2 linked regions of the Rattus norvegicus genome follow. The protein of the gene in region 1 interacts with the protein of each later gene in a pairwise test. Links are inferred from orthologs where the notes say so. Each region holds a gene or a part of one and is shown in the gene's direction. Other genes may lie near its edges. The genes, in order: Rbsn and Ehd1.

Region 1 (3,808 bases):
GCTTACACTCTGACCCTAGATACACTTGATGTGCATCTGGATTGTGGGGCATTGGTAGGTATAGTCCTCTTTTTCACTTTTGTGGTGCCCCAGCAAGCACTCTGCCACCAACTAAGTCCCAGACCAGGAATGCTCTTTATGTAGACTTTGTGGACAGAAATATGTGGCCAGTCTAATTTTCCAGGAAGACTGGAAAGTCAGGAGTTCACCCATTGCTTTCAGTAGCTCCCATACCCCACCATGACCATGTTTATTGGAGAAACTGGTAACTGACAAGAGGTTGGAAGTGAGCTGTAGGTACCGAGATTCCTTCTGGATAGGAAACTAACATGTCCCAAGTGAAATGATTTGGATAACAGGATTGGGGCTGGCTAGTGAGCCTTAAGAAGTTTGAGCATACATTTCCTGCTGAATGTGAGTGGCAAAAAAATGTAGAGAGTGTCCTTTAACTTATTAACTCCATTTGGCGTTGTGTTTTCTTGTTTAGCTTACCGCATTTGACAGAACAAATACTGAGACCTCAAAGATTAGAGGTAAGTTTAGACCTCTGCTCACGATCATTTCTTTTTGGCTTTCTCCCTGAAAACAACTTCAGAATGCTGAGCTGCTTTTTTTGGTTTGTTCTTCCAAAGCAATAGAAAAGTCTGTGGTGCCTTGGGTCAATGACCAGGATGTTCCATTCTGTCCAGACTGTGGGAATAAGTTCAGCATCCGGAACCGCCGTCACCACTGCCGCCTCTGTGGGTCTATCATGTGCAAGAAGTGTATGGAGCTCATTGGCCTGCCCTTGGCAAGTAGGTGATGTGGCTGTGGCTTTGGGCCCTGATCTCTTCTGGGACTAGTGGGTGTGCTTAGACCCTTGGGACCACTTGTAAAGTGAGTGGACCACAGAATCTCTCTCATCTACTTAGTGAGTTCATTAGGCTCACTAAGACCTAAACACTGTGCCGAAGCCCACGGCTATATATAGTAGCCTGAAACAGGCTGGGGAGCACTTTTCTTTTTTTCAGAAAAGGCTGTTGGGTCTCCTGGAACTGGAGCTACAGATGGTTGTCAGCTACTCTGTGGGTTCTGGGAACTGAACCTGGGTCCTCTGCAAGAGCACTCTTAATTGATGATCTATGTATCTAGCACTGAGATTTTTTTTTTTTTTTTTTTTTGGTTCTTTTTTCGGAGCTGGGGACCGAACCCAGGGCCTTGCGCTTCCTAGGTAAGCGCTCTACCACTGAGCTAAATCCCCAGCCCCAGCACTGAGATTTTTGTTTGTTTGTTTTTGTTTTTGTTTTTGTTTTTTGAGACAAGATTTCTCTGTGTCGCCTTGACCTGGACTCGATCTGTAGACTAGACTGGCCTCAAGCTCAGAGATTCACCTGTCTCTGCTTCCCAAGTGCTGGGATTAAAGGTGTACACCACCACCATTTGGCCCTGAGATTTTTTTTAAATGAAGGATCAGGTAGTAACTATTTTAGACTTTGTAAGGCACACACGGTCTCTTCCCATTCTTCTTAATTTAAAAATTAAAAAAAAAAGAAAAAGAAAAAGAAAAGGAGTAACTTCTTTAAAAAAACCATCTGGATGGGTGCACACTTGGGAGGCAGAATCAGAAAGTCCCAGCATGGCTAACAGTAACCGGGGCTACATAGTGAAGCTTGGTTGGTCTCAAAGTAAAACCAAACAAGCAAATATAAAACAAGCCAGGGTTAGTGGCTCCTGCCTGTAATCTCAGTACGTGTGAAGCTGAGGCTGAAAAACTATCATTAAGTTTGAGCCTGGGCTACAGAGTGAGATGATCCTGACTCAAAAGGAAAGTTAAGCATAAAGTGAATACTTAGTTTAAGAGCTATGCAAAAACAGGTGGAAGCTAGATTGGCTTACAAGTGTTATTTGAACTTTACTAATCTACAAGGCATTGCGTTTCCTCAAGGAACTCAGGATCTAGCAGGGGAGATAGAGACTCACACAATTGCTTCATAAAGGAGAGGTAGTGCAGCTCTTTGACACCTTTGCCTAGAAGTGCAGGGGAGGTTTTTAGAAGAAGTTTTGGAAAATAAGCAGAGTGCCTGTCCCTGTCCTTATAAATCGCAGAGTCATTCAGAAAGACTAGTGTCATATAGAAAGTGCTAAATACCACGGAGGCTCCAGTGAAAGCAAGCATGGATGTGTAGGGTGCAAGTGATGTCTGAAAGAGAATGGTTGTACAGGAGGTGGGGAAGGGTGGTACCCTATGTAGGGTAAAGAGCATCAAGGAATCCTGGCACTCAGTGTAGCGGAACTGAGTAGGTAAGGAGAGAGACTTGCAATGGGAAGTGTGCAGGACGTGGGTGAGACCTGGAAGAACAAGGCTGTAAAGTGCAGGGGGTGAGACACTGCAGTACTTTGTGAATCAGCTGCTTGCACACAGCTGATGGAAGGCTATGGTGCAGCCCAGTAAAAGAGCACCTGCCTAGCATGGTCAGGAGTCTGGGTTCCATTCTTAGTACAGATTAGAACACCAAAGAGTTCTATTATTTGTACACACTTGGCTGTAAGGCCTGTAGACAACATGGGCCAAAACTCACTTTTTCTCTGCCTAGTTCCTGTGTCTGCCTCCTTTACCTTGATAGTTTCCTTTCTCCCTGAGACCTACCTACTTCCTTTCAGAACACCGTTCACTTTCTGCTCTTGGGCTTATTACCCGGGCAGTCTGTTAGGTGGCATTGATGGCTATGTTAAGGCCATGAGTGTAAGACACAGTTCCTACCCAACAGTTGCAGATTCCAGGGCAGCTCTGTACATACAGGTGTTGGACAGGAGAAAAAGGAATTGCCCCAAATGGTTAATGGGAGGCGATGTAAAGGGCAGATCTTGGCTTGTGGGAGCCAGGGAAGGGATCCTAGAGAATGGAGAGTGAGAGCTGAGTGTTAGGGACTGGTAAGAGGGCTGCAAAGGAAAGTGTCTGGACAATGTGAATCATTTGGAGAAATGGGGCAAATGGAATGTGGTATAAGTCTGAGATGACCAGGTTAAGATCAGGCTTCTGAGCCCAAAGACAGGTTACCACAAGCTGTTTGGATGTGATCGCTTGGCAATGCATTCTTTTCCACCAGAGTCTCACCCCTGATGCCAGAGTAGGTTCTTTTTGTCCAGAGGTGAAGCCTGCTCTCCCTATTTCCCAAGTCACATTTGTGGCCTGAGTGCTACAGTCGCAGGTGTGGGATAAGTGGCTGCTGAGGGGTCACTGCTACCTGTCTGTTGTGGTTTGTAGATAAGCTCACCAGTGCCAGCAAGGACTCCCTGAGCACCCACACCAGCCCCAGCCAGTCACCTAACAGTGTCCATGGCTCCCGCCGAGGCAGCATCAGTAGCATGAGCAGTGTCAGCTCAGTCCTGGACGAGAAGGATGATGAGCGCATCCGCTGCTGCACGCACTGCAAGGACACGCTGCTCAAGAGAGAGCAGCAGATGGATGAGAAGGAGCACACGCCTGACATCGTGAAGCTCTACGAGGTGACACATGCCAGACAGATTTGGCTATTTGCTGTATGCCTGCCTGTAGATTCTAGAGAATCCTCTGGGACGGTGTTCCTTGACTCATTTCCTGCCCAAGGGCCATGGTATGATTTCCCAATTAGGGCCCTAGGTGAATCATAGAGTCATCCTGGGTGTGTAGTAACAAACTTATTTCCCTACCTTCCCTTACCCACTTGAAGGAGGCCCAAGACAAGTAGGAAGAGCAGTTGTCCTGTGCATGGCCAGGTTCTGTGGAGAAGACAGAAGCTGAAGGTGTAGCAAATCATGGGCTGCCAGGGTCCTGGGAAACTCACTTGGG
Region 2 (4,303 bases), on another chromosome or scaffold:
TTTTAAAGATTTATTTATTTATTATCTTTAAGTACACTGTAGCTGTCTTCAGACACACCAAAAGAGGGCATCAGATTTCATTACAGATGGTTGTGAGCCACCATGTGGTTGCTGGGATTTGAACTCAGGTCCTCTGGAAGAGCAGTCAGTGCTCTTAACCTCTGAGCCATCTCTCCAGCCCCGATAAATATTTTTTAAGATAGAGTCTGTTGCCCAGGCTGGCCTCATATTGATGGGTTCAGGTAGTCTTCCAACTTTTCCAAACATCTGCGACCATAACTGTGTGTTAACCAACTCCTCAGGTGCCTTTTAGACTTCTCCAAGCACCCTTAGATCCTCCTCCCACTTGGGTGACCTGATACTAGTTACCTAACAATCATAGTCCCCAAATCTCTGACATCACCCACAAAAATTGTCACCAGCAGACCAGCCAAGGGGACTTAGGTGTGGCCAGGGATGATGGCGGGTCCGTAAGCCCCGTGGAACAGCTACTAACTGGAAGGAGGTTGGGAATCAGAACTGAACAAGAGGTGGTACTGGTGGTGTCCCTGAAAGGAAAGCGGAAATTTTGGGGCTTTTAATTTCCCCAAAGTTCCCACAACATTTCATTGTTGCTCAACACTTCCCCTCTTCCTTACAAAGGGAATTTCCGATTTCACTTCCTCCAAACTCATCTAACCAGAAAGCTGCAACTTCTTTACCCCATTCCGCAGCTGACACCTCTTGGGTGAGACCTCCCCGCTAGATCACGTCAATTGTGTTGTCCATTGCTTTGTCCCTCTCCCATCAGCCTGAGTGGAGATCCAGCGCACTTCTCCTCCCTTATCAATATTCCTCTTCCCGGTGTCCTGTACTCCCTCGGCTTTCCCTATTCCCGCTGTCCTGTTCTTCTCCAGAGTCGCTAAAACACTAGAGTGAGGAGTGTGGGTTCAAGAAGCAGGGAAGGGGCAGCGCACAGGCTGTCGATGCTTCTGGGAGTTCCTAGCCGGTGGAAACCCTGCAGTTGGGGGAAGCAGTTGAAGTACTTGGGGTATCCAGAAGCCCACGGGTGCTCCAAGGTGCTCAGGCTTAGCACATCTGGACGCTAGTCTCTGGCACCTGCAACTGCAACCCTTCTACGAGGTATCCCTCGAGGGGCGGAGCAAAACAGGTGCGGTTGCCAAGGCACCACAGCCACGAACTCGCGATATTTAAAATCAGCCAATGGGAAGCAGGAGAAGACGTGGCACGCGAATGGGGCGGAGCCTGGAGGGCTCTTCCCTCGCCTCTCCCGCCTGCCCCGAGGCGGCGGCCTGCGTGCCAGAACTCCGGGCTCCGGCTTATAAAGGGGCCGCTCGGCCAGGCTCGCGCGACCCTCAGTAGAGGGCGCTCTTGTGGTCTGTACGCCGGTCCTTGCGCCTGCGCGGTGCGGGCCGCGCCCCGCCCCCTGCCCCTCTGCCCTCCGCCGGCCGGCCGGCCCCTCCTCGGCCGCGCGCTCCAGTCCCGCTCAGCCGCCGCTCGGTCCTGTAGCAGCCAGCTCTGTCTCCGGCAGCATGTTCAGCTGGGTGAGCAAGGATGCCCGCCGCAAGAAGGAGCCGGAGCTCTTCCAGACGGTGGCCGAGGGGCTGCGGCAGCTGTACGCGCAGAAGCTGCTGCCGCTGGAGGAGCACTATCGCTTCCACGAGTTCCATTCGCCGGCTCTGGAGGACGCTGACTTCGACAACAAACCCATGGTGCTCCTGGTCGGCCAGTACAGCACCGGCAAGACCACCTTCATCCGCCACTTGATCGAGCAGGACTTCCCAGGGATGCGCATCGGGCCGGAGCCCACCACCGACTCCTTCATCGCAGTCATGCATGGCCCCACCGAGGGCGTGGTGCCCGGCAACGCGCTCGTCGTGGACCCGCGGCGCCCCTTCCGCAAGCTTAACGCCTTCGGCAACGCCTTCCTCAACAGGTACCCACCCCTTCTCCCCCCAGCGCGAGGACCACCAAAGGCCTCCAGAGCCATTGCCCCCAGCCGGCCTTTGTCTCTGAGGGGCCCCGCAGGACCCTCAGCGATCACTCCCAGGGTCACTGGCCTTGCTGCGTCCCACTAACTACCTGAGAGTAGTTAGGGAATAGGCATTGTCCACTCCTCTGGCTTGTGTCATTCCCAGAACCTTCCAGGTTTTCAATTTAACTCTCAAACCCTCCCGCAGATCCCAGACCTACTTCCCACAGAGCTGGGGGCCACTGTGATAAGATAAGCCATTGCTCTCCTCTCTGCCTCGTTCCTCATTTTGGAGGCACCCAACTCATTCTCATCAACCTCCCTCTTCCACCCGGGTCTGTTTTTTAAGTGTCATGGGAAATCCCGAGACTTAGATGTTCCTTTTGCTGGTCACTCGCTGCTTCACATCTCCTGGGACCAGTGGTTTTGTGTAGGAGGGGCAGTGAGGATATGCTTTGGTCTGCTGATTTGGGGGCAGCCCTCTTTGAAGGGAGGGGATGAAGGAGTCTCAACACACCTCCTAAAAGCAGCACTTAAGTGGATTCCAAGCCAGCCAGGAGTGTATGAGACAACCCTGTCACAAAACAAAACAAAACAAAACAAAACAAAACAAAACAAAAAACTTAAGTCAGTATTGCCTCAAGAGACTTCAGGGGCTGGTAACACTGTGACCCCTGAAATGACCAGACCCATATGCAACTATAGATTTGATAGACTTTGATGTACTCCTGGAGTCTCAGCTTTACCGGTTAAAGGGGTGAGGTGAATTAGAGTCAGCCTCTCAGGATGCTATGAATGAATCACAGTGGCCTTTCCGTGGAGCTTTAACGCCCAGGATCACTTCTTTAAGGGCATTGGGTCATCCCAGACTCCTCCTCTCCTAGGTATGACAGGACTCACAGACCCTGCCCTCTCTGCTCCCTCTTTCAAGGAGGGACTTCCACATGCCTTTCGACATCTGCATTCAGCCTAGGGGAATAACCTTGGAAAGAATCTGAATCCTGCTTTCCAGGTCTCCGCCCTGTATGAGCACATTCCTCTGCAGACACTGTCCAGCCGTACAGGGCGGGCCAGCTTGTTCTAGAGCGAGCCTGCTCTCAGGCCTGCCTCCTTTGGTGGAGTTGATCTTTAATGTCTTCTTGTCCCTTCTAGGTAATTTCAGCCTGTCTTGTTTTAAGATGCTGCTGCTTGCGTGACAGGCCTGGGTTGAATACAATGCTCTAGTCCCCTTAGCCTGGAGCCTTTGCCTAAGGGTGTTTGAGTTTTGCTGCCCCTGTAGGTAGGCCCTTGACTCAGAGTGCTGATGGTCTTGTGAGAAGTTTGGCTGCTGGGCTAAGGAATTCATTCATGCTTTAGGTCTCTGCTTCAGGAGTGACAGGAAGATTTGCTGTTCCAACTCCTGTTATAGCCTCATCATGAGGGCAGACCTCTTTGGAAGCAAGGAACTTGGCATCTCCTCAGTTTTCACCTGTGGAAATGCAGAGCTTAAGGAGCTAGAGCTCTCACACACCACCCCAATAGCCCCCAGTGCAGTAACTCACAAAAGGCAGGCCCTGCTGAACTGTCAAGGTGGAGGCCACGCTCTGTACCCGGTTCCTTCTTGCCCCCATCCCAGTTCCAGAGGGTCTCTAAATGCTGGTGAAGACCAGGGTTGGAACTGTCTCAGGATATGCCTCTGGCCAGGGAGGCACAACAAAGGGGGCTTTTCTCTGACTGATACAGCTTTTCCTGGCACTCTTAAAGGGATCCATTGAGTCATGAACTTGATTTATTAGCCCCCCCCCCCCACTGCCCCCAAGGCTGCTCAGAGATAGTGAGAGGAACAGACGGAGGCAGGCAATCCCAAGAGGGGTTTGTGAGTGCCCTGCCTGCATAACTGGACCCACCCACTGGTCCTGAGGACTGAGGTCCCCATCCTTGTTGCCAGGGAGTTGTTATAACCTCCTGCCTTTCTTGCTGTCCACTTACTGGACCTTGCAGAGTAGTGGGTTCTCATGGACTTTCAGATGCTCCTTTATGGGACCGGTTATGTCTGTTACTTCTCAGAACCAGCTCCACTTCCACTCTGTTTTTCTGTCGCTCTCTCTCCATTGAGTAGAGAATTTCTTCCTAGGCAAGGGGAATTGAGATCCAGCATGCAATGATTTACAACACTGGAGTCTGCTATACTTGGACATAGCCTTTTACTTTGTCATGCTGTCTCCAGCCTGGGGGGAGACTTATCATCATAATTTGGGGGTGTGGAGCCACAGGAGACATTCATCTTGCTCCCCACTGTTAGAATCCCAGCTTTGAGCCTATGTCTTGCAGACCATAGGTCTGTATTTTCTT

The links.
Region 2: the proteins of Rbsn (region 1) and Ehd1 interact in binary tests that used the Homo sapiens proteins (3 or more experiments, as listed by UniProt). The link is inferred for Rattus norvegicus from reciprocal best matches to the Homo sapiens genes RBSN and EHD1.

What each region holds. Positions count from the first base shown.
Region 1 is NC_086022.1:126,252,538-126,256,345, reverse strand, and holds part of Rbsn (rabenosyn-5), read left to right. Parts: intron 1-487; coding exon 488-533; intron 534-632; coding exon 633-794; intron 795-3,244; coding exon 3,245-3,486; intron 3,487-3,808. UniProt on the Homo sapiens protein: Rab4/Rab5 effector protein acting in early endocytic membrane fusion and membrane trafficking of recycling endosomes. Required for endosome fusion either homotypically or with clathrin coated vesicles.
Region 2 is NC_086019.1:213,007,654-213,011,956, forward strand, and holds the start of Ehd1 (EH domain-containing protein 1), read left to right. Parts: upstream 1-1,459; 5' UTR 1,460-1,532; coding exon 1,533-1,936; intron 1,937-4,303. UniProt on the Homo sapiens protein: ATP- and membrane-binding protein that controls membrane reorganization/tubulation upon ATP hydrolysis. In vitro causes vesiculation of endocytic membranes. Acts in early endocytic membrane fusion and membrane trafficking of recycling endosomes.